7 linked regions of the Neurospora crassa OR74A genome follow. The protein of the gene in region 1 purifies or fractionates together with the protein of each later gene. This does not show direct contact. Links are inferred from orthologs where the notes say so. Each region holds a gene or a part of one and is shown in the gene's direction. Other genes may lie near its edges. The genes, in order: rpn-9, rpn-2, rad23, rpn-3, NCU07913, NCU02967 and rpt-5.

The links.
Region 2: the proteins of rpn-9 (region 1) and rpn-2 purify together in Saccharomyces cerevisiae (affinity purification with mass spectrometry; 5 studies listed by BioGRID). This does not show direct contact. The link is inferred for Neurospora crassa OR74A from reciprocal best matches to the Saccharomyces cerevisiae genes RPN9 and RPN2.
Region 3: the proteins of rpn-9 (region 1) and rad23 purify together in Saccharomyces cerevisiae (affinity purification with mass spectrometry; 5 studies listed by BioGRID, with this or other methods). This does not show direct contact. The link is inferred for Neurospora crassa OR74A from reciprocal best matches to the Saccharomyces cerevisiae genes RPN9 and RAD23.
Region 4: the proteins of rpn-9 (region 1) and rpn-3 purify together in Saccharomyces cerevisiae (affinity purification with mass spectrometry, with the first as the bait; 3 studies listed by BioGRID). This does not show direct contact. The link is inferred for Neurospora crassa OR74A from reciprocal best matches to the Saccharomyces cerevisiae genes RPN9 and RPN3.
Region 5: the proteins of rpn-9 (region 1) and NCU07913 purify together in Saccharomyces cerevisiae (affinity purification with mass spectrometry; 5 studies listed by BioGRID, with this or other methods). This does not show direct contact. The link is inferred for Neurospora crassa OR74A from reciprocal best matches to the Saccharomyces cerevisiae genes RPN9 and SEM1.
Region 6: the proteins of rpn-9 (region 1) and NCU02967 purify together in Saccharomyces cerevisiae (affinity purification with mass spectrometry; 5 studies listed by BioGRID, with this or other methods). This does not show direct contact. The link is inferred for Neurospora crassa OR74A from reciprocal best matches to the Saccharomyces cerevisiae genes RPN9 and NAS6.
Region 7: the proteins of rpn-9 (region 1) and rpt-5 purify together in Saccharomyces cerevisiae (affinity purification with mass spectrometry; 7 studies listed by BioGRID, with this or other methods). This does not show direct contact. The link is inferred for Neurospora crassa OR74A from reciprocal best matches to the Saccharomyces cerevisiae genes RPN9 and RPT5.

Annotation. Positions count from the first base shown.
Region 1 is NC_026507.1:2,715,964-2,719,785, reverse strand, and holds rpn-9 (proteasome regulatory particle subunit), read left to right. Parts: upstream 1-1,468; 5' UTR 1,469-1,843; coding exon 1,844-2,111; intron 2,112-2,195; coding exon 2,196-3,073; 3' UTR 3,074-3,322; downstream 3,323-3,822. Other genes in the region: nuo40 (NADH-ubiquinone oxidoreductase 40 kDa subunit), read right to left, coding at 1-1, 65-223, 289-430, 494-585, 678-772, 844-920, 987-1,123; NCU02375 (ubiquitin carboxyl-terminal hydrolase 2), read right to left, coding at 3,546-3,647, 3,735-3,822. UniProt on the Saccharomyces cerevisiae protein: Acts as a regulatory subunit of the 26S proteasome which is involved in the ATP-dependent degradation of ubiquitinated proteins.
Region 2 is NC_026507.1:232,440-236,613, forward strand, and holds the start of rpn-2 (26S proteasome regulatory subunit rpn2), read left to right. Parts: upstream 1-1,374; 5' UTR 1,375-1,673; coding exon 1,674-1,813; intron 1,814-1,917; coding exon 1,918-4,174. UniProt on the Saccharomyces cerevisiae protein: Acts as a regulatory subunit of the 26S proteasome which is involved in the ATP-dependent degradation of ubiquitinated proteins.
Region 3 is NC_026503.1:4,431,844-4,435,977, reverse strand, and holds rad23 (rad23-like protein), read left to right. Parts: upstream 1-1,334; 5' UTR 1,335-1,757; coding exon 1,758-1,775; intron 1,776-2,005; coding exon 2,006-2,053; intron 2,054-2,234; coding exon 2,235-2,307; intron 2,308-2,370; coding exon 2,371-2,450; intron 2,451-2,512; coding exon 2,513-2,857; intron 2,858-2,917; coding exon 2,918-3,505; 3' UTR 3,506-4,005; downstream 4,006-4,134. UniProt on the Saccharomyces cerevisiae protein: Plays a central role both in proteasomal degradation of misfolded proteins and DNA repair.
Region 4 is NC_026507.1:3,274,541-3,278,566, reverse strand, and holds rpn-3 (26S proteasome non-ATPase regulatory subunit 3), read left to right. Parts: upstream 1-1,226; 5' UTR 1,227-1,893; coding exon 1,894-2,086; intron 2,087-2,157; coding exon 2,158-3,479; intron 3,480-3,562; coding exon 3,563-3,706; 3' UTR 3,707-4,000; downstream 4,001-4,026. Other genes in the region: NCU02223 (hypothetical protein), read left to right, coding at 1-155, 283-540. UniProt on the Saccharomyces cerevisiae protein: Acts as a regulatory subunit of the 26S proteasome which is involved in the ATP-dependent degradation of ubiquitinated proteins.
Region 5 is NC_026504.1:1,371,871-1,375,434, reverse strand, and holds NCU07913 (hypothetical protein), read left to right. Parts: upstream 1-1,428; 5' UTR 1,429-1,787; coding exon 1,788-1,911; intron 1,912-2,147; coding exon 2,148-2,259; intron 2,260-2,580; coding exon 2,581-2,620; 3' UTR 2,621-3,064; downstream 3,065-3,564. Other genes in the region: NCU07912 (hypothetical protein), read left to right, coding at 1-246; pgk (phosphoglycerate kinase), read right to left, coding at 3,161-3,564. UniProt on the Saccharomyces cerevisiae protein: Versatile protein that might stabilize multiple protein complexes involved in diverse pathways. Subunit of the 26S proteasome which plays a role in ubiquitin-dependent proteolysis.
Region 6 is NC_026501.1:8,551,798-8,555,151, reverse strand, and holds NCU02967 (ankyrin repeat domain-containing protein), read left to right. Parts: upstream 1-1,473; 5' UTR 1,474-1,618; coding exon 1,619-1,667; intron 1,668-1,767; coding exon 1,768-1,793; intron 1,794-1,853; coding exon 1,854-1,982; intron 1,983-2,060; coding exon 2,061-2,570; 3' UTR 2,571-2,854; downstream 2,855-3,354. Other genes in the region: NCU02966 (pre-mRNA splicing factor prp46), read right to left, coding at 1-1,106; NCU02968 (hypothetical protein), read right to left, coding at 2,887-3,354. UniProt on the Saccharomyces cerevisiae protein: Acts as a chaperone during the assembly of the 26S proteasome, specifically of the 19S regulatory complex (RC) and appears to have an overlapping role with RPN14.
Region 7 is NC_026504.1:3,450,359-3,454,292, reverse strand, and holds rpt-5 (regulatory particle, ATPase-like-5 protein), read left to right. Parts: upstream 1-1,134; 5' UTR 1,135-1,437; coding exon 1,438-1,748; intron 1,749-1,827; coding exon 1,828-2,243; intron 2,244-2,308; coding exon 2,309-2,943; intron 2,944-3,002; coding exon 3,003-3,023; 3' UTR 3,024-3,500; downstream 3,501-3,934. Other genes in the region: NCU04413 (UPF0132 domain-containing protein), read left to right, coding at 1-365, 439-600, 652-706. UniProt on the Saccharomyces cerevisiae protein: The 26S proteasome is involved in the ATP-dependent degradation of ubiquitinated proteins. The regulatory (or ATPase) complex confers ATP dependency and substrate specificity to the 26S complex.

The DNA of each region.
Region 1 (3,822 bases):
CCTAAAACGGCTGTCAGATGCTACCGTCCGCGCGCAAAGGGTTATATCGTGGGGGAAGACGTACGTGGACAGGGTTGTACTTCTCTTGCATCCCATTGGATGTCAGGATATTCTTGACGCTGGCAAGCTTGTGAAGCAACCTGTCCTCGAAGCCAAACATGGGAGCTGGCCGGACAATGGTGGTTTCGGGGAAAATGCTCCTGACTACTTGCTCACCGCGCGCCTACAGATCCAATCAGAAACCCATAACGATGCGACTCGCTGGAAGAGGCTGTCTTGTAATCGTACCTTGGTGGCGAAGAACTCGCACTCCGAGTTGGGGTCTGCATTGTAAGACGAGACGTGGATGAAGCGGTCGACATCGTATTTGGCGACAGCTTCGGCGATGCGCTCAGCACCCTCGATATGGACGTCCTCGAACGAGAAGTTCCTGGGACCCAGGTCAATACTCGTGCATCTCCACCACAACCTTTCCCAGTAAATCCAGACTCACTTGGTCGGGTAGTCGCGACCGATCAGGTTGTAGACGACATCGGAGTGTCGGACGCTCTCCTCGATGGATTGGGTGTTGCGCAAGTCGAACTCCTGGAGTGGTGGTTATGCTTAGTAGCTGGATCCTTGCGCGTACGTGGGCCTCGACTGTGTGGACATGACTCTTGTTGTGGGGAAAAGCTCACAATCATGACCACCTTGCCCAAATCACCCGTAACTTTCAGATGGCGCTTGTTGTACTCGTCGCGGAAGGGAATGACGACAGTGCATCCTTGTCTCGCTGCAAATGTTCTTGATATAAGCCATGGTGATCTCTATAGAGGCCTACGCCACAAAGTCGCCAGATCGTACCTAGTCTGTTGACGATGTAGCGGCCGAGTTGGCCGGTCGCACCGAAGACTGTCGCCGTATGTCCACCGAGGGAGGAGCTGTGGAGGTAGACGACGTGTTAGCAATCGCCCATTCTACCCAAGCAGAGATATAGCAACAATTACCGGCCACCCTGGTTACGGATGATGGGCTTGCCGGTGCGGGTGATGGTCACGTCGGAGATAGCTCGTCGCTGAAAGCCAAAGGCATTGGAAACGATAATTCTGGGAGTCGACCGCATCGCGGCCGTCAAGGGAGCCATCTTGTGAGTTGGGGGGTGGCAGGGCTGGCCGGATCCCGTTCAATTGGTGATGGAATCAGAGGCTATCCGGAGCTTCAAGCTGCCGTCTTCAATATCGAATCCGGGACGTCGAAGCCGGCTCTCGCTGCCCGCCTGCTGCCCGCCTGCCGTCAGCACCCCCCCCCCCCCTTCAATGTACCCAGCGACCAAACTGCTGACGGGAATCACGTGTGCCAAGCTTCCTCACTTACACTCAACGGCAGTACGTACCTCTGCCAGATAGACATGTACCTTTTGGGCTCCCGCCTCCAGTACGTACCTTAGCTTCACCCAGCTTCCACTTGGCAGTGACTGTGGGGGCCTCCACAGTGCTGGGAGAGCATCCACAATGACCGACCGTAGCTGGCTGCACGCCTAATGCCGCGTCAAGGCTTCACTGCAAGACGTCAACCAAGACAACCTCAAAACAACACTTCCACTTTCATCCCGTCCTCCATTGTAGACGTACCACTGCATTGTTCCGCCGGGATTTTCTACAACGAGCAACATCCCACGATAAGTACGCTGGTTTCCATCCGCAGCAGACTCACCGACGTTTCCACCAAAGAGACCGGATCCTCGAGAATCTGCCTACCTCCCCAAGGACTGGACAGCAAGGATCGATAGAAGACTCAGACACACACACCCACACCCACACCCACACCCACACCCACACCCACACCTAGACACAACACCACAGCCATGAACGTCGACACCATCTCCGACTTCCTCGCCGAGCAGCGCGACCAGGCGCCCGAAGAACTCCAACCCCTCGTCCTTGAGTTCGAGACACTATGGGAGCGCAAGCTGTGGCATCAGCTCACCAACCTGCTGCTTGAGTTCTTCAACCACCCCGGCAGTGCCCCGCAGAGGCTACAGTTCTACAAGGTCTTCATTCTCAAGTTCGCCGACAAGATCAACCAGCTCAAGCTCGTTGATCTTGCTCTCAAGGCCGCCACACAATGTAGAGGTGCGCAGACGGTCTTCATTTCCTCTGCTTCCAAACATGCATCTGGCAGCTAGCACTAACCACGCCTGGGTGCGCAAACCGTAGACAACCAAGAGCGCCTCTCCTTTTTGGAAGCCGTCGTCAAGAAGGTCGACCACGAAGACTCTCAAGACGCCTATGTATTCGCCACGATCGCCGTTGCCCGCGTGAAGCTCGACCTCTCCGACCTTGACGGCGCGCGCAAGGACCTGGACACGGCCGAGCGAATCCTCGACAACTTCGACTCGGTGGAGTCGGTCGTGCACGCCGCCTTCTACGACACCAACGCCAAATACTTCCAAGCCAAGTCCGACTGGGGCTCCTACTACAAGAACGCGCTGCTGTACCTCGCCTGCATCGACGTCAAGTCACTTTCACTCGAGGAGCAGCGCCAGCGCGCCTACAACCTGGCCATCGCGGCCCTCGTCAGCTCGAGCATCTACAACTTTGGCGAGCTTCTGCTGCACCCCATCCTCGACGCCCTCACCATCGACGACCGGCACAAGTGGCTGCACCAGCTCCTCTTTGCCTTCAACCGCGGCGACCTTGCCGCATACGACCTACTGGCCAGCCACATCAGCTCGGACCCGCTGCTGGCGCAGCACACGCGCCAGCTGCGCGAGAAGATCTATCTGGCGGCGCTGACCGAGGCCGTGTTTCGCCGCCCGCCCCATGACCGCGCCATGTCTTTCTCCACCATTGCGAACGAGACCAAGGTACACCCCGACGAGATCGAGCACCTGATCATGAAGGCGCTGAGCTTGGATCTACTGCGGGGCACGATCGACCAGGTTGACGAGGTGGCCCACATCAACTGGGTGCAGCCCAAGGTGTTGGACATGCAGCAGATCAAGAACATGAGGCAACGGCTGCAAGAGTGGGATTCCAGTGTTGACAAGCTGGGTAACTGGATCGAGGGTGTGGGCCAGGATGTTTGGGCTTAAAGGGTGGACGAATCTACGGACGGTGTGAGGAGATGGGAACAATTCGGGCGTTCAAACGGATGGCATCAAACCTGGAGATACAGGAGTAAACCTAATGCTTAGATCAGGGAACAAGGCCAGCTAAAGGCATGATGTTATTCCGCTGCATGAGGCAGACCGACTTTGCATGATACATATGAATACCCATAACGCATGACAACGCCCACGGCGTACGTCCTCCATTCTCTAAAAATCCAGGCCCATGCTTTGGCCTGAGTTATGTCTATGTGAATCCTCTCCATGTACGCTCCATGAACAAAGGCAAATCCAAAATACGCCGGCAAAATATGCTTCCTTGAACGCCGCAAAAAGATCAAGTAGTGTACAAAACGTAAATGAGCCATCTGGCACGTGTTTACTGGAAACAACATCATACACAGGAAAAAAATATTTGCTGCTTACTTGCCCCTACTCGTACACCGTTTATCCGAGCTCAAGACAGGGACCGAACAATGTAAAAGAGAAGATAGGCCTTTGCGTTTAGCACATCAGACTTCTGGGCCAGTTCAACTTTGTGATCGTTAAATGCGAACCACTTAAATAAATGTGCCAAAGGCAGCGGGTCAGCAAGTCTAACCCTTCAGGAACTAGATGTGTGTCATGGTTCACTAGTCAGACTCACCTGGTCGCCAACCCGGCAATAAGAAATGTAGTGTCCGGTATCCATGTCGCCAACGTGCACAACAACGCATAGAAGATCGTAAGTGCAG
Region 2 (4,174 bases), about 2.5 Mb from region 1:
CCGTCGCCAGCACAAGGAACTTGGTGTCGCGGGTATTTGGACAAGGAATCGAGTTCGCAGTATGAAGAGAGTTCGTTCCTTCTTTGTCGAATAATTCGAAGGCGCAGTTTGGAGAAATGTAATGGTCGCGGGAGCTGATGCTGGTGTCGGAGCTGAGTGACAGAGACGACCTATGGTAGATATTGAGTGTATTCAGTTGTAGAATAAACAACAAGGTAGCTACAGTATAGCTCCCTATCCCATGTCGCGAATGTGTGGGGATGCTGAATATTGTGATAGGTAACTCTCGACTGGTGGTGAGAAATGACGAGAGGACAGACGGCCGTTCACGGGCAACTGGAGCTTATGACCGTGCAGTGTTGCACCAGGAGAAGAAAAAAAAAGGACAAAAGGAAGGGGAAAAAAAAATAGAGGCTAGAGTATCATCATGACATTGTCCCGCGCAAACGCTAGTACCATGTCAGTCAGTCAAGATATAAGTAGTGTAGTGTAGTGTAGTGTAGTGTAGCACTGATTTCGTTGCTATCTTCATGTCACACAGAAAAGGTGGGAAAGTGTTAGTGGTGGAAGCTATATATCCACTACTGTCGTGTTGGTTCAAGACCATCAGGTTGAAATTGATATGGATCACAAAGGGAGAAAGAGCACAGAAAAGACTTGGCTGTCCATGATGATGTCTGAAAACAGGTTGAAGCCAGGGCGAGTAGTCCAGGAACAGACAGAGATATTCAGACTTGTGGATTCCACTGGCACATGTTCAAGTAGTGTATCTAGGTAGTGTAGAATACTATGTAGGTATGTAGGTACCTTTGTACCTTGAGTCCATCCAAGTCAATGACATAGATGACAGTGTGTATTCCTGGAAATGAATCAAGTAGATTGCTACCTATGTAAGGTAGTTTCCTCCTACATTTGTGCTGGGAGCGCTACATAGCGGTACCCGACTTACCATAGCCAGGAGATCTTTATCTTTTTGGAGTCATGTTGAAATTATCATCCAGGAGTCCTGACTGGAACTGTCTTGAGAGTTTGGACGGACAGTCTTTGAGTTGGGACTGGAGAGAAGCAATGAAGCTTCAGCCTGTGTGAGCCGCCTGCCTCACCTGCCTCGTTGAGCTGCCTGTCATGGCTCGTGCGCCCGCTCTTGAAGCTGTTGGGTCCAAACGAATGAATGGAAAATCTCGCCTTCCGTTCAATCTTTCATTGGTCAACAGTCAAGGTATCTGGGTACATCCAGCCCAGCAATGGACCCACTCAAGGCAGGAGCTCCCTGACGTGGATGCTCCCCTCGGCCGTCAGTTCGTCACTGCAAACATGCCGTCGGCAGGCCCCAACCAGCCAACCAGCCAACCAGAACCTCTCATTCCAGCGCCCGCCAGCTCCATCGCTGCCCAGGGCACTGCTGTCCACTGAAGCCATCACTGCACCGACCTTGACGGCAACAAACAACTGAACGTATCTCGATTCCACTCGCTCTCCTCACCAAACAAACAACCCGAATCGCCTCGTCCATATCCCATCCCATTACACAACCACCACGCGGCGCACGAGGACGCTGGCTGTTTTGTACAATACCCGGGCATTAATAAACACCCAAATCTAAACAACAACCAGAAACCGCCACCGCGAAGCTCGCCGCCATCCCACTTCTTTTTCTAATCAACATCACCAAGATGCCCGGCCTCGTCACCGCGACCGGCGTGTTGGCCTTCCTCGCCGATGAGGAGCCCGAGCTCAAGGTCTTCGCCCTCAAGACCCTCAACGATGATATCGACACCGTTTGGACCGAGGTCGCTGGCGCCTTGACCCAGATGTGAGTAGCTCCCTGATACCCGACACCAAGCTACGCTGTTTAGTGTTAGTAAGCTCACTCAGCTGGGCACGCGAGCTGATCTGTCTATCTCTCTCCCCCCCCAGTGAGGCCCTCTATGAAGACGAGACCTTCCCCGAGCGTCAACTCGCTGCCCTTGTGCTCGCCAAGGTCTACTTCCACCTCCAAGCCTACAACGAGAGCATGACCTTTGCCCTGGCTGCCGGCCCCCTCTTCAAGCTCGACGCCCCCAGTGAGTTCGAGGAGACCATCATCTCCAAGTGCATCGACCAGTACATCGCCGTCTCGTCTCTCCACCACACGCCTTCCAAGAAGGACCTGCCTGCACTTGAGACCGATCTCGGCAGCGGTGCCATCGATAGCTCGGCTCTGATCTCCCCCACCACGCCCTTCTCGCAGTCTTCGGTTCCCTCCAAGTCCCTGCTTGCGCGCGCATCGTCCGACGACAACACCATCCTGGATCCCACCTTCCAGCCCACCAAGGAGACTCGCTCCGCCTCGATAGCCCAGGTTCACGACACCGCCACCCAGGTTGCGCTCCAGAACGTCATTGAGCGCCTGTTCGAGAGCTGCCTGAAGGAGGGCAAATATAGACAGGTGGTGGGCATTGCTGTCGAGGCCAAGAACCTGGATGTTTTGCGTCGCGTCATCAAGCGCGCCAACCAAGATGTCAAGTCCGGCAAGGCCAAGGTACAGGAAGGCAGCCAGGGGCCGGCGGAGGAGCTCATGGACTATGCCCTGAGCATCTGCATGGATATTGTCCAGGAACGCGGCTTCCGCACCGAGATTCTGCGCCTGATCCTCGATCTCCTAAACGACATCCCCAACCCGGATTACTTTGCCATCGCTAAGTGCGTGGTCTATCTTGATTCGGACGAGGAGGCGTCCCGGATGCTCCGCCAGCTGGTTGCCAAGGGCGAACAGGACTCCATCGCCATTGCCTACCAGATCGCCTTTGATCTATACGACAACAGCACCCAGGAGTTTTTGGGCAAGGTCATCAAGGCTCTGCCTTCTGGCGAGCCAGCCAAGCCCAAGCCTGCCGAGGGAAGCAACGACGCGGCTGCGGAGCGTGAGCCTCTTCTGGAAGGCCAGGAGAGCTCCGAGGAGGAGCTGCCCGAGGAAGTGGCCAAGGTCTACAAGAACATCCGCACCATTCTTGACGGTAGCAAGGTCATCAAGCTCAACCTCGAATTCCTCTACCGCAACAACCACGCCGACATGAGCATCCTCAACAAGGTGCGCGACAGCTTGGACGGTCGCAACTCCATTTTCCACAGCGCCGTCACCTTCTGCAATGCCTTTATGAATGCTGGCACAACAAACGACAGGTTCTTCAGGGATAACCTTGAGTGGCTAGGAAGGGCCGTCAACTGGTCCAAGTTCACGGCCACTGCCGCGCTCGGTGTTCTGCACCGTGGCAACGTCACTCAGTCCCGCAAGCTCCTCGAGCCCTACCTTCCCCGCCCCTCTGGCGTCAGCACGGGTTCCGTCTACAGTCAGGCCGGTGCGCTTTACGCTTACGGTCTGATTCACGCCAACCACGGCGCTGATGCTCTGGACTACCTCCACCAACAGTTCAAGGACGCCGATCAGGAGGTTATTCAGCACGGTGGCGCTTTGGGTCTGGGTATTGCCGGCATGGGCACTGGCGACCAAAAGATTATTGAGGATCTCAAGGAGGCTCTCTACTCGGACTCGGCCCTCAACGGTGAGGCCGTTGGTGCGGCTATGGGCTTGATCATGCTGGGAACTGGACATGCCGCCACTATCGATGCCATGTTCACGTACGCTCACGAGACTCAGCACGAGAAGATTGTGCGCGGTATCGCCTTGGGCATTGCTCTCATCATGTTTGGACAGCAGGAGGGTGCCGACAGGACGATCCAGCTTCTCCTTGCGAACCCCGACCCCATCCTCCGCTATGGTGGTGTTCTCACGCTCGCCATGGCCTACTGCGGTACCGGTAGCAACAAGGCCATCCGCAAGCTGCTTCACCTTGCCGTCAGCGATGTGAACGACGACGTCCGCCGTGTTGCCGTTATGAGCTTGGGCTTCATTCTCTTCCGCAAGCCCGGCAGCGTACCTCGCATGGTCGAGTTGCTCGCCGAGTCTTACAACCCGCATGTGCGCTACGGTTCGGCCATGGCCCTCGGTATCGCGTGCGCCGGAACTGGATTGGACGAAGCGATTGACCTGCTCGAGCCCATGATGAAGGACCCTACCGACTTTGTCCGCCAGGGTGCGCTCATTGCCCTGTCCATGATTTTGGTTCAGCAGAACGAGGTTATGAACCCCAAGGTTGCAGCCATCAGGAAGACGCTCAAGAAGGTGGTTAGCGAC
Region 3 (4,134 bases), on another chromosome or scaffold:
GGATGGCCTGAGACGAAGTTACGACATGATACCTTTCTTTCACTTCTTTACCCCTGTATTTCTTTTTTCTTCCTCGTTCTCTTTGGCTCGATCTCCACTCAGAGAGTAAGAAAGGTCGCTGTTGTGGGAGAGATACCACCTTTTCCTCTTCTCCTTCTTCTTCTACTTTCCTTCTTCTTTCCTTTGTATTTTTCATATCTTGGGGGAGGGGAGGAGGATTTTGTTTTGAGGACGTGAATATGATACCTTTGATTGCGAGGCGTTGGACTTGAGTTCCATACCTAAAGATGGGTCTTGGATAGGTGGGATTTGTGTATAGAAAAGCTCGGCTATGGTTGGATAGAAGGATGGCTAGATGATGGATGGATTCAGATAGATGCTTCTCTGCGCTATGCGCGAGACGGACGACTGAAAGATGTAGCGGATGAGAACCGAAGAAGTCAGAACAAAAGATCGTGCCCACGAAATATGCGCGGTGACATTGAGCTGTGATTTTCCATCTAAGCTATGATGCTTAGACGTCCGACCATGACTGCGATGGAGATGTAGGTAGCTTGGAAGCTTGGGAATGGTGATGAGAGAAACCAGAATAAAACGATGTCTGGCTCAAATCATGTTTGCTGCCTTGAAAAGTAACCCCAATGCTACCGTTCCGTCGTTTTTGCGATGATAACCGAAGGGAAGGTTACTCGTAGTCAATTCAATGTCACGATCCACGTCGGGTCACGAACGTGACGGAGGCCTTATCTTATCTGGTGCTCTTTCCAAGGGAGCCTACCAATGCGTATGATTGGTACAGATGGAAGGTGTTCTTCAGCCCCATTTTATACGCGCTTATGAGTGGAGATCTATTACCTAGTATTGCCGTGACACTGCCATAATCAGCGATGACTTCATCTTCTTCATCGCAAAAAAAATTCAAATAGAATAAAAAGAGATGAAAGAAGATGGGTCCTTTGGATTGGCTCACAGCATGACATCAAACATTCCCCTTTGATTTTGCATCAACTTCCATCGCCAACGGAAGCATGTGGTTATCAGTTCAGTGACATTCAAAAGCAAGACTAACAAAGAAAACCAATTCATGTTTTTCAACGCAACAAGGCCAACACAACCTGGAAAGTGAATGGATCCATGGGATCAATCAGTCTGTGTTGTGTGTACAGACGGACGGGATGGCAGCGTGACGACTGTGACCTCTCCACCAGCTCCAGGCGGCAAGATGCCGCGCAGCCCCCCCCGCCTAACAATGGCCGCTGCCTTGTGCCTGTCCACTGCACTTTGCCTGCCGCTTCCCCCCAGCCATTCACTGCCGTAGGTAGCACACCGTGAACCTGGCTACCCGCCTGCTGTGCCCCTCTTCCATTCAGTGCACTCAGGTGAAGCGAACAAACCCCAAATTCTCCGCCTCAAAGCTGCCTCATCAGTCATCACAAGCCGCTGTAAAACGTTCAAGCTTCCCTGCTACCTTCCATATTTCTTGCCACAGCGATTACAACTATCTCCTCCCCTGTATGCCACCTCGCCATCTCTGCGGCAGCCTTCCCACACACATCAACCTTACCACAGCAACCAACTAACCACTTCCACTTTTTTTCCTCGTCCTCGCCCAACTCCGCCGACTGCAACAAATCTTGCTGTCTCCCATCGCGACTCGGAACCCAACGAAGCTCGCCCGTCCGGACAGACTTTACTTACATCATCAGACTCTCAGTGTCAACGTAGCAGCCGTTTAGCTGCGTCGCAGATTGCCCATCATGAAGGTTACTTTCAAGGTACGTGCCCATAAGCTTGCCCATGTCGAGTGTTTGACGTAGCCAGCCAGCCAGCCAGCCAGGCAGACAACGAGCCAGACGTACCGCGATGGCTTCTCAGCAAATTCGGAAACAACCCAGCGTCTTCTTTGAATCCTGTCTGCCTGGTTGGATCAGAGCTCGCTCCCTCTGTCCATAAGCTCTCAAAGTCTATATAGTCAAATACTAACAATGACTGTTCGTTCATCTAGGACCTCAAACAACAAAAGTTTACGCTCGAGATCGAGCCTACCGAGACTGTTGGTTACCCTTCGTCGCCTCCCATTTCCTTACACCCTTTACCTCAGGCCGACGTCATGGAGACATCCAACACGCCGTGACAGCCCTCGACAATCGAATGCTCTGTCGGCGTCGCGAGCCTCCCATGTCGCTTCGGGAGACGTGCATGATGCTGGCGAGCTAGAAGCTAACCGGTTGCAGATTTCCAAGGTCAAGCAGAAGATCTCCGAGGAGAGGGGCTGGGCTCCCGAGCTGCAGAAGCTTATCTACTCCGGTAAGCATCGCTTGCTTCTCAAACGATGGATACCGCTCCCGAATACTGACTTTACCCCAACAGGTAAGATCTTGAAGGATGAGGAGACCGTCGAGTCGTACAAGATCGAGGAGAAGGGCTTCGTTGTCTGCGTCGTGAACAAGGTACTATTTCCCCCGTTATTACTCACGTCCTTGTACAAAGATGAAGCTGACACTTTGCGCAGCCCAAGACCACTGCCCCCAAGCCAGCCGAGTCGTCGTCGTCTGCCGCTGCCCCCGCTACCCCCGCTGCCGCCGCCCCGGCCTCAACACCTGCTCCCCCTGCCGCTCCCGCGGCCTCCAGCGCTGCTGCCGCTGCCCCTTCGACGCCGACGCCCGCTAGAACCGCTGCGGCTCCTGAGGCGGCCCCAGCTGCCGGTGCTCGCGATGCCAACGCCCTTGCCATGGGCGAGCAGCGCGCCGAGGCCATTGCCAACATGGAGGCTATGGGTTTCGAGCGTTCGCAGATTGACGCTGCTATGCGTGCCGCCTTTTTCAACCCCGAGCGCGCTGTGGAGTATCTCTTGAACGTACGTTTCACAACTCATTCCACTTTCCGATCTATGTCTGGTTTACTGACACAGCTTTAGGGTATTCCCGCCAACCTCCAGCAACAAACTGCCTCTCGCCAGCCTTCTGCCGCTCCGGCTGCTGCCCCTGCTGCTGCCGCTCAGGCGGCTTCCCCCGCTGCTGCCGGTGGTGATGATGACGATCAAGTCAACCTTTTCGACCTTGCCGCTCAGCTCGGCAACAGCGCTGGCGGACGTGGTGCTCGTGGTGCGGAGGGTGCTGGTGCCGAGGCCGCTGGTCTTGGTAACCTCGACTTCCTCCGCAACAACGCGCAATTCCAGCAAATGCGTCAGCTTGTACAGGAGCAGCCCCAGATGCTGGAGCCTATCTTGCAACAGCTCGGTGCCGGCAACCCTCAGCTTGCCCAGATGATCGCCCAGAACTCGGATCAGTTCCTGAACCTCCTTGGCGAGGGTGGTGAGGGTGGCTCTGTCGGTATTGCTGTCACAGAAGAGGAACGCGATGCCATTGAGCGTCTCACCCGCCTGGGCTTTCCCCAGGACCAGGCCATCCAGGCCTACTTCGCTTGCGACAAGGACGAGGAGCTTGCCGCCAACTTCCTTTTCGATCAAGGACCGGAGGAAGATGACGACATGCCCCAACAATAAATAGGGGTGAGACTGTAGGCTGGAATGAGATATTTTTGGGTTTTTCGTAACTGGGCGTTAAAAGTCGTTGGCAGGGTGGATTTTCGTTAGCAGCTGCCTTTGCATTTGAAATGTGGGCGACGGCTGGATGGTTTGGGCTTGCTTAGGATGCATTGGAGACTTTATGATGACATTATACCTTAGGGAGCTCAAAATGCTCAACACTGCTGATCAACGTTCACATGCAATATACGGGTGGGCTTTGTGTGTCTGATCTATCCACTGCGCGACAGGTTTCGACGAGTTTTAGTAAGGAAGCATCAAGAGTGAATGGGGTGATGACACTGAAAAAAATGCTTCGCGGAGATCTAGATCAAGGATAACTACAGAGGTGTGGTGTTTTCACAGCTTACGAATCACTCTATTCTTTATGTACTCTATAGTCCTGTCCCTTGAAGAGTGAACGAAGCATTCCCATCACGAACCATAACCAGCAATGAAAACGAAGATAAGATCCGAGACCATGAAACCGTCCGCATACAAGTAGTATGATCAAGAACCCTTTTTTTTTGTGTGTCTCCATTTGTTTTTCCCTTCCCTATTTCCATACCTAACTAAGTGCCCCTCCGGTTGATGGGTATATAAAACCT
Region 4 (4,026 bases), about 560 kb from region 1:
ATCAGCCCGTCTTGCAGAAGACCCCGGCCTACCAGCTTGAGGGCGAGGGTGAGAGGGTTTTGAACAAGAAGAAGCTGGACGAGCTGGTTCGGCAGGTGTGCGGTGGTACGGCTGAGGGCCAAGACGGAAATCTCTTGACACCTGAGGTTGAGGAGGTACGTTGTTTGCAACCTGATAATCCTTTGTTTTTCTTTGCGGAAGTCCGCGGTCATTCCTTAACCCCCTTTAGCAAACTCACAAAGTCATCACCACACAACCAGCTAACGTGGCATTCCTTTTCAGTCCGTCCTTGGTCTCGCCGATAGCTTTACAGAGAGTGTCCTCCACGCGGCGTCCCGCAATGCAAAGGAGAGAGGATCCAAGGTTCTTGAGATCCGCGATATCCAGCTTGTTTTGGAGCGTACCTACAACATCCGTATCCCTGGCTACTCTAGTGACGAGCTCAGGACGGTTCGCAAGGTGCAGCCCAATGCTCAGTGGATCACCAAGATGAGCGCGGTGCAGGCCGCCAAGGTCATGCCGGGCAAGGGGGATCTTTAATGGAAGGGTATTCAGACCAGAATGAACAAGAGGTTTCGGGTCTCGCTTGTTTGCATGGATGTGGTAATTCTTTTGGGGGTGGGAAATGGAAAAGGGTGGCGTACCGGATGAGACGGAGGAAATACATTCATCTCGGGATACTTGTATGCTTATCCCTGGCATGAGCTACCCATAATATGGCTTAGGTTGAAGCATCAATCCTTTATGGGTTACGAAACAAGCTCCAAATATAATGGGTTGCAAGCAAGTGCAGATTTGCCGTGATATGCCAGATGATGCAGGGTTCAGGAGGCATATGCATATTCAACCCCGTGATAATGCCATCTTGGGAATGCAGACAGAAAGCGAGGACCATATATTGTATAGGCAATGGTTGCTAACACCATCCTGAAATAGGAGCCATGTCTCCCAAGACCAACTCAGTTTGTAAAAGTCTACATTGGTGGTCGAGGTGGTAAGATGTTTTGGATGTTGTCTACCCTACACTTGTAGTACTTGTAATGTAAGGTGTACCTAAGTACCTAAGTACCCTGCCTCGAGCCTGCCTGGACGTCGTCGACAGGCAGCACATCAACAACGTCAGTGACGAGCCGCAGTGGACCCATTCAAGACAATCTGGCCAATCACAATGCCTAGATGTGTGAAGCTCTTCTGGAGCTTGTCCGAAGGCCACCATAGCACTCACTCACTGCACAGGGCGGCCCTTCAGTTGGTCGTCCGCTCTTGTATGCTGGCCCAACCGTGACCGGTAGGTACTTCCTTTCAATCATCAGCTCAACAACTCCCATCAAGCAAAACACGGGTCTGTGAAGCTTGAACTTTCCTTTCCTGCACCGAACTCCGAGTACACAGCTTGGATTGAATTACCTAGGTAGTTATCCATCGACAACGACGACGAAGCAGTTTGCCCTTGGCCCTCGCTTAACAACGCCGACGACGAAGTCACCCCCATAGATACCTCCCTCTCTACCTCTAGTGCTCCATTCCCCGCCTAGAGCTAGATCCACTGCGACTCTGCCAGCTGCTGCTGCTAAAGGTGCTTGCTCCAGGCTTGCAAGAAGGGCGCGCTTCGCGAGATCGCCCCAAGCAACTCGAACTCATACCTCTGCTCTATTAGGTTGCCCACCAAAACGGCGTCATCATCACCGCACCACAGCATTCCAACATCACCCACCGCGCCAACGCAACCGTCAACCCCCACCACATCATCACCCCGTTTCCCATCGACCATCGGGCCGTTACCAACACAGCAACCACGACCTCCAGCCCAGCCAGCCTATAACCAAACCCGGAGCCGCTCCAGATAAGGAACCACTTGAGCACGGAAGCTATTGGGGTGGAAAGGATCTCGACATGACGGACAAGGATACCAAGAAGTCGGGAAAGCAAGGCGAGGACGAAATGACCGTCGTAGTCCCCCCTCCCAAGAACAAGCAGAACTCTGCGCAACCTCCCAACGACGCCGATGGCGACATTGCCATGGAAGACGACACCAAGGCCGGCGAGGTTGAGGCCCAGGTCGACCCCGTCGCCCAAACCATCAGCGGTACGGTACCTTCCCAGTCCCCAGCTTCATCTATCTTTGTGAGCTGAACTAACCATCACTCGCTTGCGCAGACATCAAGAGCAACTTTGCGCTGCTAGACCGTGCTGTTGCCCTGTTCGATCCCAGATTCTCTCTACGGGCACTGCGATCCATCTCGTCGATCCGGAAACGCCTGACGCCCGACATCCTCGCACAAGTCGTCTCAGAAACCTTCTCCGCGTCCTCACCCAATACTCAAGTTGCCGAGCACCTGCTGCTCGCTGTCGACCGGCCAAATGTGACTCTCGGCAGCAGCTCAGACATGGAGATCGACTCGGGATCCAAGTCGCCAGCGAAGAACGGTGGCAAGAAGGACCCCAAGGAGGTGATTCCTGAGATCGACATCTTCCTAGGCATTCTGGCGCAGGTCCACCTCTACGACACCAAACAGTTCCAGCGCGGATTCGCCCTGTCGCGTTTCCTATCCGAGCGTATCCAGTCCCTCAACCGCCGCACATTAGACAGCCTTTCGGCCAAGGTGTACTTTTACTTCTCGCTCTTTGCCGAGCAGCTCGCTCCCCTCCCGCCTTCCCCCCAGTCGCCGATTGTGTCGATCCGCCCGATCCTCCTCGCCGCTCTCCGAACCGCCGTGCTACGAAAGGATATCGACACCCAGGCTTCCGTCATTGTCCTCCTGCTCCGGAACTACCTCCTCACGTCGCATATCTCCCAGGCCGATCTGCTGGTGCAGCATACCCAGTTCCCCGAGAACGCTGCCAACAACCAGGTCGCGCGTTTCCTGTACTACCTCGGCCGTGTCCGGGCTATTCAGCTACGGTACACCGAGGCCCATGAGCATCTCACTGCGGCGACACGGAAGGCTCCCTCGAGCGCCTGCGCACTTGGCTTCAGCCAGACGGCCACCAAGCTCCTGCTCGTCGTAGAGCTCCTCATGGGCGACATCCCCGACCGCGCCATCTTCCGTCAACTGACCATGGAGGCCACTCTCCACCCGTACTTCCTGCTCGTCCGCGCCGTGCGCGTCGGCAACCTCGAGGACTTCGAGACCACCATCGCCCAGCATGCCGACACCTTCCGCCGCGACGGCACCTATAGCTTGATTTTGCGTCTGCGCCAAAACGTCATCAAGACGGGCATCCGCATGATGAGTTTGAGCTACAGCCGCATTTCGCTCCGCGACATTTGCATCCGCTTGCACCTCGGCAGCGAGGAGAGTGCCGAGTACATTGTGGCCAAGGCGATCAGGGACGGCGTCATCGAGGCCACGCTCGACAGGGAGCGCGGCTTCATGAAGAGTAAGGAGGTGGGCGACGTGTATGCCACCAGCGAACCGGCCGAGGCGTTCCATGACCGTATCCGCGCCTGCTTGGCTCTGCATGATGAGAGTGTCAAGGTATGTTTCTTTTTTTTCTTTCTCCCCCTTTCAAATTCCAGAAGTTATGATAGATTTGTTGCTCACAAATTCTTTCTTTGCAGGCCATGCGTTTCCCCATGAACCAGCACCGTCTCGAGCTGAAGAATGCCCAGGAAGCACGAGAGCGCGAGCGTGATTTGGCCAAGGAGATACAGGAGGGCGATCTGGATGAGGATGATCTCGGTGGTGACTTTGAGGGCATTTAAGATGTTTAGACACACACACACACACCACACACGAGTCTAAACTACCTAGATAGACCCCGCCCAATACCTATAATTTGGTCTTGGGAATAGTCATCATCATCATCCCTGTTGTATCTAGTAATCTGGTATGGAATCGTGCTATCGCCGGCCAAGAAATAAGACGGGAAGAGAGAAGAGACAGAGCCTTATGCTAGAGAAAATACGCTACAACCGTATATCACCTACCATCTTGCCTCACTTGTTCATTAGACGTATCCACTGTGTATCGGGCACAACCACCCATCAACATTTCATGCATGCTTTTTTTCGTTTGTTCCTCA
Region 5 (3,564 bases), on another chromosome or scaffold:
CTCCAATGGAGGGAGGTCGTCGATGTCTCGAGGTACGGTATGCCTGCCGATATCAAGCAAGTCCCGATCATTGATTCTCTTGACTCGACGAACGGGTGGAGCTTTTTCAATGAGAAGGAGAAATGCGAGTATGATCGGATTAGGTTCGTATGTACCGTAGGTTTGTTGTCAGGTTTTCGTTCTTGGGCTGAGCTGCGGCTTGTTTCTGAAAGGGCTTCGTGGTCAGCAGCGGGGCTGGTCTTTTAAGTATTCGCCCAAGTACGTGAAGGAACTAGTGTAGTAGCATTGCCCCAGAGAAAAGAAAAAAGAGGAAAAGGAAAAAAAGGAACGAGGGGAAAGAGGCGACGAGGCGTCCAAGAGACAGTGCCTTTTCCAAGAGAGACAATCGAAAAAGGGTCCCCGATGCCGTCCGCGGTTTTCACACCTTGTTCCATTCCAAGGTTGCTGCCCTGGAACTTGGGCAAACTGTGGCATAAACTGTCATAAGTCCTTCATTTGATACTGTGTTGTGTCAGTATCCATCCCAAGGTATACTGGAGATAATATCCAATGCAGCCGGCACGTCTAAGCCGCGCTCTTCTGCACACCGTACGGTACAATCTACATCTCAATCGTAGCCCTCTGGGTCTTGCATCATCCAAGAATATGGTCTGGGTTCTAAAGCCGGGTTCCAGCCATGACGGAATGGCCGATTCCCCCCAGATCTCCATATAGTCTCCGGGGTACCTATCATCCATTTCTCTCAACTCGCGAATGGCCAGGGCAAAGGCCAATCGAGTCTCAATGGGACTTCTAGGTCAGATTCGATATAAGCACTGCAGATATCGGCATCCCATGTCGTGTAACCACTTGCTAGAGGTGACATTGGAGTCCCGAACTGGTTCACCGCAATGGCTCAGTTGAGCAGATATGTATGAGGTTCAGTTTGCAACAAGAGGGGAAAAGAGAAAAGAACAAAGGTCTCGGAAGATTGGTTTGATGCCGCACCATAGAGCTACCGGGACAAAGTGTTTGCAACTGAACCAGCAGGAAGTTCTTCTTGTTAGTTGTTTGCCTCTATACCCAAGATTTCCTGGTGGGCTGATTCGCGCTCTACGTGTTGAACTAGAAATCTTAACTGCAGGCAGTATACTGTAGTATGCAAGAAATGGGAAGCCATCTGCAACTGTCAGTGATGGTTCGGACGAACTGCAATGCCTGAACAGTGCAGCGTTGATCTTCCAATATGTACAGACCAGACATCAATGACGATGCCAAACAGAAAGACACACCAAGAGCACAATCACAGCTCAGCGGCGGGGGACATACCAAAGTGGGTCCCAGAGCTTTTTGCCAAGATCTGCGACATGGCCCGTGCTCTTTCTTGCCGCCCCTGGCTCGGCCAGGCCAAGTGCAGTGGGCGGAGGAAGCCGAATTGGCACGTCGTCTCGCTGCCGCCTTGGGTTGGGGGCCCGTCACTCGGCAGCTGCAGTTGACGGAACAAACGACAAGATCACGAGCTGTCACGACTGACGGACCAAAAGCTACTACCTAGAGCTATCAACCACCGCAGCGCCCAACATCTTGCCGCCGCCAAACCGACGATTTCGATTCTCCTCCGTGCGCATAATACCAAACAACAAAACCAAGCGCAATCATCATCACCACGACGTGATTAAAAGTACGCCCGACGAGTTTGCCCGCCTTTCGAACAATTCGTCGATACAATCCATCCGTCTAGCGTCATCAGCTTCAGTCCAGCTGGTCCCATCCCTCTATACCTACACACACAAATCACAACATTCACAATGGCCTCAACACAACCCAAGAACGACGCCAAGTCGACCGAGCCCAAGCCCGAGCAGCCCGTTACCGAGAAGAAGACGGCCGTGTTGGAGGAGGACGACGAGTTTGAGGACTTCCCCGTCGATGGTTAGTCTGCCCGCCATGGCTAAGAAGCACCTTTTGCTGGACGCCGCATCGCATTTCAAACACCACCGCATCACGACCTGCTTCCATATATCATATCATTCAACAACCTCTCTGCCTATACCCTTCATCATTGGCACGGACACTACATACCAAACTTCCTTCAACTTGCGCAACTGCGGAGGCTAGCTCCCCCAGCTGTTGTACCGCACATGTAACTAACAAAATAACCAAAATAGACTGGGAAGCCGAAGACACAGAAGCCGCCAAGGGCAACAACGAGGCCAAGCACCTATGGGAGGAGTCCTGGGACGACGACGACACGAGCGACGACTTTTCCGCCCAGCTAAAGTACGTTTTTTTTGTTTTTTTTTTCCTTTTCTTTTCGTACTCCTTCCTTCCTTCTTCCTTCCCTTTTTACCTGCGTCCCTCCCTCCCTTTCCCTCTCCCTCCTCCTCCTACTCCTTTACTATGAACTTCCACTTCACGTAATTAGCTAGCTTTGCGCTAGGAGTTGGGATTGAAAATCCTAGACCCGGGTTGGCGCGTATTGCGCTGGGCCAGTCAGTCAGGCGTTAAAATGAATCACACCATTTTGGAACTTTATGGAGGAAACAAAAAGCAAAGCCGTATAAAGCGACAGTTGCTGACTTGTCTTTTTCAAACCATTAGGGAGGAGCTCAAGAAGGTTGAGGCTGCCAAGAAGCGGTAATCGGAGGACTTTCGAAGCTTGTACAAAGTATGATATGAGGGGAGGACAGGCGCATCAATACAATGTTGACCAAAGTTTCAGTCCGGGATCTTGCGGTGACATTGCTGTGCGAGGCTTCGATATGCGAGTGAAAGGTGAAGGAGACCCTCCGACTATAAAGAGACAATATCCGGAGACGTACCGACTTGTGTAGTCATTGACACAAGTCATTGGGTATCAACACGGGATTGAGATGATCTGCATAGACTTCGTCTCGAACTTGGTGCATAAACTCGAATAATATCTTGGGATGAACCAGATTCGTCAAGCTTATCCGCACATCACACTTCGAATCATAAAAACTGGACTTTAACTGTTTTGTTCTATTTATCGACTTTGGACTGAGTGCCTATCATAGACTGGCCCTGCTAATCCTTCCAAGGACCCTTTATCATCATATGTTTTTTTGATCCATCAGTCATGATCTCTCATTCAATATCCGAGAGGTTTCATAACATCATTATATCTCCTTCCCAACTCCTTTGAAAGCCAAGGACAAACTTACTGACGCTCGCTAAGAGCAACAACACCAGGGAGAGCCTTGCCCTCAAGGAGCTCAAGAGAAGCACCACCGCCAGTGGAGACGTGGCTGAGCTTGTCCTCAACGCCGTACTTGGCAGCGACGGTAGCGGTGTCACCACCGCCAATGATGACGGTGCGGCCTTCCTCGGCAGCCTTGACGCAAGCGTCGAGGGTGGCCTTGGTGCCCTTGGCGAACTTGTCGAACTCGAAGACACCGGCGGGGCCGTTCCAGAGGATGGTCTGGGACTCGTTGATGGCCTGGGTGAAGAGCTTGACCGACTCCTCGCCGCAGTCGAGACCCATCCAGCCGTCGGGAATGCCGTCCTTGTCTGTGGCGTAGCCAGTGTTGGCGTCCTTGTCGAACTTGTCGGCAATGGTGAAGT
Region 6 (3,354 bases), on another chromosome or scaffold:
AACGCTCGCACACCCTTCTTGTGATGTGTCAAGACGCCCATCGTCTTGCCGGCTGCCAGATCCCACATGCGAACGGTCGAGTCCAAGCTGGCTGTGATGACCTGAGGGTCGGCCTCCTGACAGACAAGATCCGCTACTGTGCCTGTGTGTCCAGAGAGGACGTGAATGTTGCTTCTTGTCCGCATATCCCACACACGCGCGACACCGTCGCGACCGCCTGTTACCAAAACATCCAGTGTAGGATGCAGCGCAAGGGTATAAACACCGCTGAGATGGCCGTGGTAATGTCGGATAACCTTGTTCGTCTCCAAATCCCAGCACTTGACCATCTTATCCTCACCGCACGAGAACAGGTATGGGTGTCTCGGTGACACGGCCAATCCGCGAACCGTCGAGATGTGTCCGGTAAGAGTCAACTTCAGCGCTCCTGACGCCAAATCCCAAATCTTGATAGTGCGGTCGCCTGCGCCCGAGGCAAACCACTTGTTGTCCGGTTCTACTGCCAAGGCACGCACCCACCCCAGATGGCCCGAAAGCACCTTGAGAAGCTTCCAAGGTGGGTGCCAATCTGGCCTGGGCTGTACCAGCACGTCGGATCGCCGCGCCAGGCTGTTTGTTTGGGGCTCGTTTCGTTGCGCATTTGGTCTGGTTGACGACGCGCCAGCGCCGCCGGGCTTGCTGCGCGACAGGACCAGAGCATTCGAGTTGGCGGCGGCGGACTTGCTCGGTGGGATACCCTCGATGAGTTTGCGGGCGTGTTCTTCGGATTTTGAGGGAGCCTCTTCGATGGCTGGCTTGGCCTTCTTTTTGCGTGGTCCGCCGGCTGGCAACTTGGAGGCAATGGCTTCGGGGAGGGTCTGGACGTCGCTGTACTCGGCGTGGAGACGGAGAGATAGGCCGGTCTTGGTGATGTCGGGATCTTCTGACGCAAGCCCAGGGTCGAGTTTTAGACGCTTTCTCCCGGAAGTGCCAGAGGCATCTGTAGTTGTGGCTGTGGCGGCGTAGATGAGTTTCGTTTTTCTAGCGTTCTCGCGGATCATGGTCGAGAGCGGGTTGGTGTCAGGGCCAGAGCCATTGGCGGCGCTGTTGGCAACCTCGGCCGCCATCTTAAGGGTCGGATGTCGGATAGGTAGGGTCGTTTCGTCGTTTGGGTTCTTTGTGCGAATTATTCTTCAATATAGCCGGAGGGGGTTTTGAGTCGGTTGTTGTGATGAAATCCGAATTCGAGCCGTGGTTGTTGACTTGATGTCAAAGTTGAAGTTGAAGACTGGATGCAGTGCGTGATGAAAGTGATACAGTGTGCTGAGCACCGACGAGCGCCACCGGCGCGGCCTGGACGCGGCTGGGAATTTTTGCTGACGTCCTGGCTTGGGGGAGCTTGGGCCACATCTTTTAGCACATTTAGCGTCTTGGCAAACACAGTCGAGCTCACACTGTGTGCCTCTTTCGGACTTCACACACCTCATGGAAGCTCCCGGGGGAAGGCATCACTTACATGACGTTCAACTCATGCAACAGCATCATCACCATATCAAACAAATCCTTGGAACTCAATTCAATCGACTTTCTGATTGACTTTGAGGCCTCTCTTACTGAGTAATCCATCTGCTTGATCAATATGGCAGAAGACAAGTTTGCAATTCACGCTGCCGCTAGGGATGGTAAAGGTGAGCATAGAAAGCTCCAGAACCCTTCAAGCTGAGCAGTTGAGGACACTCGTTAAACCATCCACGAAATGACTGAATACTGACATTTTCACAATCTCAGCGTCCATCGTCGAGTCTCTCCTCAATGTGAGTGAGATGTCGTTTCAAAAATACGTATACTTGCAAAATGACTAAACACACAACCAGGCCAACCCCAAGCTCGCTCAACGCAAGGACGACGATGGCCGTCTCCCCATCCACTGGGCCTGTTCCTACAACCGCAAGGAAGTCGTTGAGCTACTCGTGAACCAAAAGGGTTTTGATCCCGATGTTGAGGTAGGAACTCTCACTTTTTTTTTCTCCTTTCCCTTCCCTCTGTTCACTCAGCACTTACAACTTACACCACACAACCAGGACGACATGGGCTGGACCCCCTTCATGATCTCCGCCTCGGTCAAAGACTCCGACGCCATAATCGACCTCCTCCTTTCCCGCGGCGCCGACATCAACCAAACCAACCACCAATCGCAAACCGCCCTACACTTCATTGCTTCCAAAAACAACATTGACCTCGCGCGTAAGCTTTTGTCTCCAGACATGAAACCCAAGCCTGCCTCGGTCCGGGTCAAGGACAAACGGGGGCAATACCCCTTGCACCGCGCCGCGGCTATTGGGTCCGTGCCGATGATCAATCTTTTGTTGCAGCACAAGTCGCCGATTAATGCCAGCGACAACGCGGGGTATACGCCGCTGCATCATGCGGTGGCCGAGGGACATGGGCATGCGGCTGTTGCGTTGTTGAAGGCCGGGGCGGAGACGGACAAGAAAGATATGGATGGATATTTGGCATTGGACTTGGCGCCGGATAAGGATGTGAGGAGGTTTATTGAGAAAGAGGCCGAGAAGGAGGGGATTGAGCTTTAGGTTACCCCGTTTGCAGGTGCAGGTTGGGGGTACGTGTGGCGAAGATGACACGATGAGGAGAACGAGCGTTGACTTAATTTGCTCCGGAAAAAAGGGCGATGAATACGAGATAGTGATGCTATGGGCTAAACCAAGGTTTATGGACATCAATATCCAAAATATTAGTGAAAGCCATCCTTAGTCACATGTCCATTAGAGTCCCCTTCCCTTCATACCCACACGACAACTCATTTTCATTACCAGCCATCTTGAATAGTTTATTATGTATGCAAGAATCACTACCCAGTCCGTCCCCTCTCACTCACCACTCACGACCTCATTTCATAGTCCTCTCCACCAAATCCCTATACATGTCCTTCAAATCCTGCACATCCGCCTTCAACTCATCCACCTCCTCGCTCTTCTCGCCCAACAGCTCCAGCGTCGTCTCATATCGCTCATTCACCTCCGCCACCTGCCTCTCCAGCTCAGCCACCCTCTCAGCCGCCTTCTTCTGATTCTCCACCTCGCCCATGAGCGCCACAATCTCCGCCCGTGCCTCGTCCCGCTGCTTGGAGATGCGTGCCAGCTCTTCGCGCACCGTCACCTTCTCGCTCTCAAGCTGGCGGATCTTGGCACTCATGCGCTCCACGAGCTGGACCGAGGGCCCGGCGGCGATGGTGGATACGGAGACCATGTCCTGCAATACGTTGTGTGGAGAGGAGGACGAGTCGACGCTGTCGAAGCCCGTGTCGGAACGATGGAGCCCAGCGCGTGGGTGCTGGATCTCGGGTGCGCCACCTGC
Region 7 (3,934 bases), on another chromosome or scaffold:
CAACAGCGCCCAGCGCAAGTATCGCCTCCGCCACTTCTACACCCACAACCACATCGTGCTTGGTCGGGTGAGGGCATCAGCAGGTATCAAAGTCCGAGTGCTACTCCTGGCACCGCCAATGGGATCGGCAGTGGCATTGGGTTCAACAGTAGGAACGGCAGTGGTGGTGGAGGAGGAGGAGGAGGAGTAGGAGGAAGCATGGGCGAATATTTCAATGCGCTGGGCGCTCGAGAGGGGATGGTGTCCGAGTTTGATACGAGCTTGGGACTGAGGCTGGATTATGAGGCGTGTTTGGCGTATTTGGCAGTGCCGCCGCTGGGAGCGATTTTGCTGTTGATTTTGGAGCGGAAGAGTGATTATGTCAGGTGAGTGAAACAAGACCCATCTCTCGGTATGGTCGAGGAGTTAGCGTTGCTGACATGTGGAACTGGGGATTAGGTTCCACGCATGGCAGTCCAGTCTGCTGTTTACGGCATTGTTTGTGCTTCATTTGTTGATTTCTTGGTCGAGTTTCCTTAGCTGGCTGTTATTTCTGGCGGATTTGGCGTTGGTAGGATGGCTGGTTATTAATGCTTATAGGGACGCCGACACGTTAGACAGGTATGTCTTCCGGGATCCAAACGAGTGGACAAAAGCTGACTTGGTTTCCAGATACGAAGTACCGATTTTTGGGCCGATAGCAAGCGGGATCTTGGACGACGAGTAGACGACTGTGGTTATTGGGGCTCAAACGCATCAGGATCAGTCCGGCATCGTGGTTGTCCTGGGAGAGTTGATACTTGACACTTGACGAGAGGTGTGAATACGGCCTTCTCGTACTCTAATGTAATGCGCTGGTATATTTTTAGTCCGATGAGGGATGTATCGAATCAATTCCTGTGTTATCGAGCCGCTTCCCCGTAAGGGACTAGCTCAAGGGTTTTGGTCAACTCCGTTTAAGACTTCATGAACATCGAAATTGAGTGAAGCACAGCAGATGAATGATCGTGCAGTGAAACTCGACTGAATTGAAACCGTGAACCTGGATGGCCGATGCCGCGTGGTTAGTCAGCTGTGGCTGGTTCACTCTGGGGTCAGAGTGGGGTCTAGAGCTGAAGTACTATGTACATACTGTGGGGCGTTAGGTACCCGGCCTTGTTACGTCGCGCTTTTGCCTGCAGCCCAGCTCCTGGTCAACCACCGACAGCACTCGAAGCTCTGTGCCGCATGTCGACCACGCAACTGCCACCATCCACGCAGCACTGCACTACAAGCACGACCGCCGGTCTCCCAACCACAACGCAAACAACGGCGATTTTCATCACTAACCACCACTACTACTCCACGTCGTCGTTTCAAATTCCGTGGAGATTACATACAGAGGATCAGTAACCCGATCTCTGCGCCCTTGCGACTTTCCCTACCGATACCCCACATTCGCACCCGTCTGCGTCAGCCATGTCGACCCTTGAGGAACTCGACGACCTCGATCGCCGTGAGCGCGAGGACAAGAAGAAGGATCAGGACAAGGATAAGAACAACAAGAAAGAGGGAGATGGCGATGCCGAGATGAAGGATGCCGAGCCCGAGGCCGATGACATCCTAGATGAGGAGATCCTGAGTTTGAGCACAGAGGACATCCTGATGCGGAAGCGCCTCCTCGAGAACGATGCCAGAATCATGAAGAGCGAATACCAGCGGTTATCACATGAGAGGGCTACCATGAAGGACAAGATCAAGGAGAACCAAGAAAAGATTGCCAACAACCGGTAAACATTCCCCCTACACTCCCCTAAGGTTTGCCTTCAGTAGCCGCGAAACCTCCCCTACTAACGCTGGCCTCATCAGACAACTTCCGTATCTCGTAGGAAATGTCGTTGAACTTTTGGACCTTGACCCGACCGCCGAGTCCTCCGAAGAGGGCGCCAACATCGACTTGGATGCCACGCGCGTGGGTAAATCGGCAGTCATCAAGACATCGACCAGACAGACCATCTTTCTCCCTCTCATCGGCTTGGTCGACCCCGAGAAGTTGAAGCCCGGCGATCTCATCGGTGTTAACAAGGATTCGTACCTTATTCTGGATACGTTGCCCGCCGAGTACGACAGCAGAGTCAAGGCTATGGAGGTCGACGAGAAGCCTCAGGAGAAGTACACAGATGTCGGTGGTCTCGACAAACAGATTGACGAACTTGTCGAGGCTATTGTGTGGCCTATGAAGGAAGCCGAACGGTTTAAGAAGATCGGTATCAAGGCGCCCAAGGGTATGTCTTCACCAAGATGGAGCAGAAACTCGCTGCTGTGGTATTGCTGCTAACTTCAGGAATAGGAGCTTTGATGTACGGACCTCCCGGAACAGGCAAGACTTTACTTGCCAGAGCTTGCGCCGCTCAGACAGATGCCACATTCCTCAAGCTTGCTGGCCCCCAGCTAGTGCAGATGTTTATCGGAGACGGTGCCAAGCTCGTAAGGGACTGCTTCGCCCTAGCAAAAGAGAAGGCCCCGTCAATTATCTTCATCGACGAGTTGGATGCCGTCGGTACCAAGCGTTTCGACAGCGAGAAGTCCGGCGATCGTGAAGTCCAGCGAACCATGTTGGAGCTCCTCAACCAGCTCGACGGTTTCGCTTCTGACGACCGTATCAAGGTTCTCGCCGCGACGAACCGTATCGACGTCCTCGACCCCGCTTTGCTTCGTTCCGGTCGTCTTGACCGCAAGATCGAGTTCCCTCTTCCGAACGAGGAGGCACGCGCACAGATTCTCAAGATTCATTCCAGGAAGATGAAGGTCAACCCCGGCGTTAACTGGGGCGAGTTGGCGCGCAGCACGGATGAGTTTGGCGGTGCCATGCTGAAGGCTGTGTGTGTCGAGGCTGGCATGATTGCCCTCCGTATGGGCAAGAATCAGATTGGACACGAACACTACGTTGACGCTATTTCTGAGGTGCAGGCCAAGAAGAAGGAAGTGAGTATTTTCCCCAAGACAACCAATGCTTGTGTGCTGCTTACTGACCACGCGTTCAGACCGTCAACTTCTACGCTTAATGTTATTGCATTTCCTACCGTACTGAAAGCGACGACCGAACTACGGCAAACAGCAAGGTCATGGACGGTTCATAGAAATTTGGCATGCAATAGAGCTAGCGTTGGGTTGGGCATGTCTTGTATCATAATGAAGCGTTTTACCCCGATGACTTGCCATGCCATCCAAATTCTCGATAACCCAGAGGCTTGATGACTCTGATGAACAATGTTTGCTGGCCTTCTTGTTAACTTACTGTTACGTTGCCTACCCGATACTCTCATTCTAGAGGGTGAAACGGTTTCCAGTCCGCCGGTTTCGCTGCCCCGATATTGTCCTGGTAAAACTGAAATGTTAAGTATAGCATCAAACAGATTTCACGGGTTTCCGTATGTGGTCCGTTGACAATGTGACCACCTGTTGTTTGATTTTGATCATTCTTCAATATCATCTTGCATTTCGTCCTTGAGTTGCTACACCAGTGGTTTGCTGCTTCTACGACGACTCATTTATTGATTTTCGAGCGGGTCTTCCATAGTGTGGATTTACTTACCTTTTTTTCGTGGCTCAAGATGTGAACTGTACAAAGTACAACCGATTGCAACTCGCTCCTGATGATCCAAAGCTTGGTCCTCAAAACTAAACCGATCAAGACCTGCAGCTTGAATGAAGATCCAGGTGTCGGTCGTCTGCCAGAAAGATCTCTCATGGTTCAAACACTGACTTCGAATTTTCACCATATTTTTCAGAATTCCGCATGATTCTGGCATCCGCGTTAGAGCACCATCCCTCATAGTTGGTATCCGACAAACCCGAAGTACTCCGTTAGAACAACACAACCACTCTTCCTCTTCGCTACCGCCAATACGTAGCATATCAAATATTGGAACGACCAAAACAGAATATCACTATAGGACGCCAGGGGGGTTCTGTG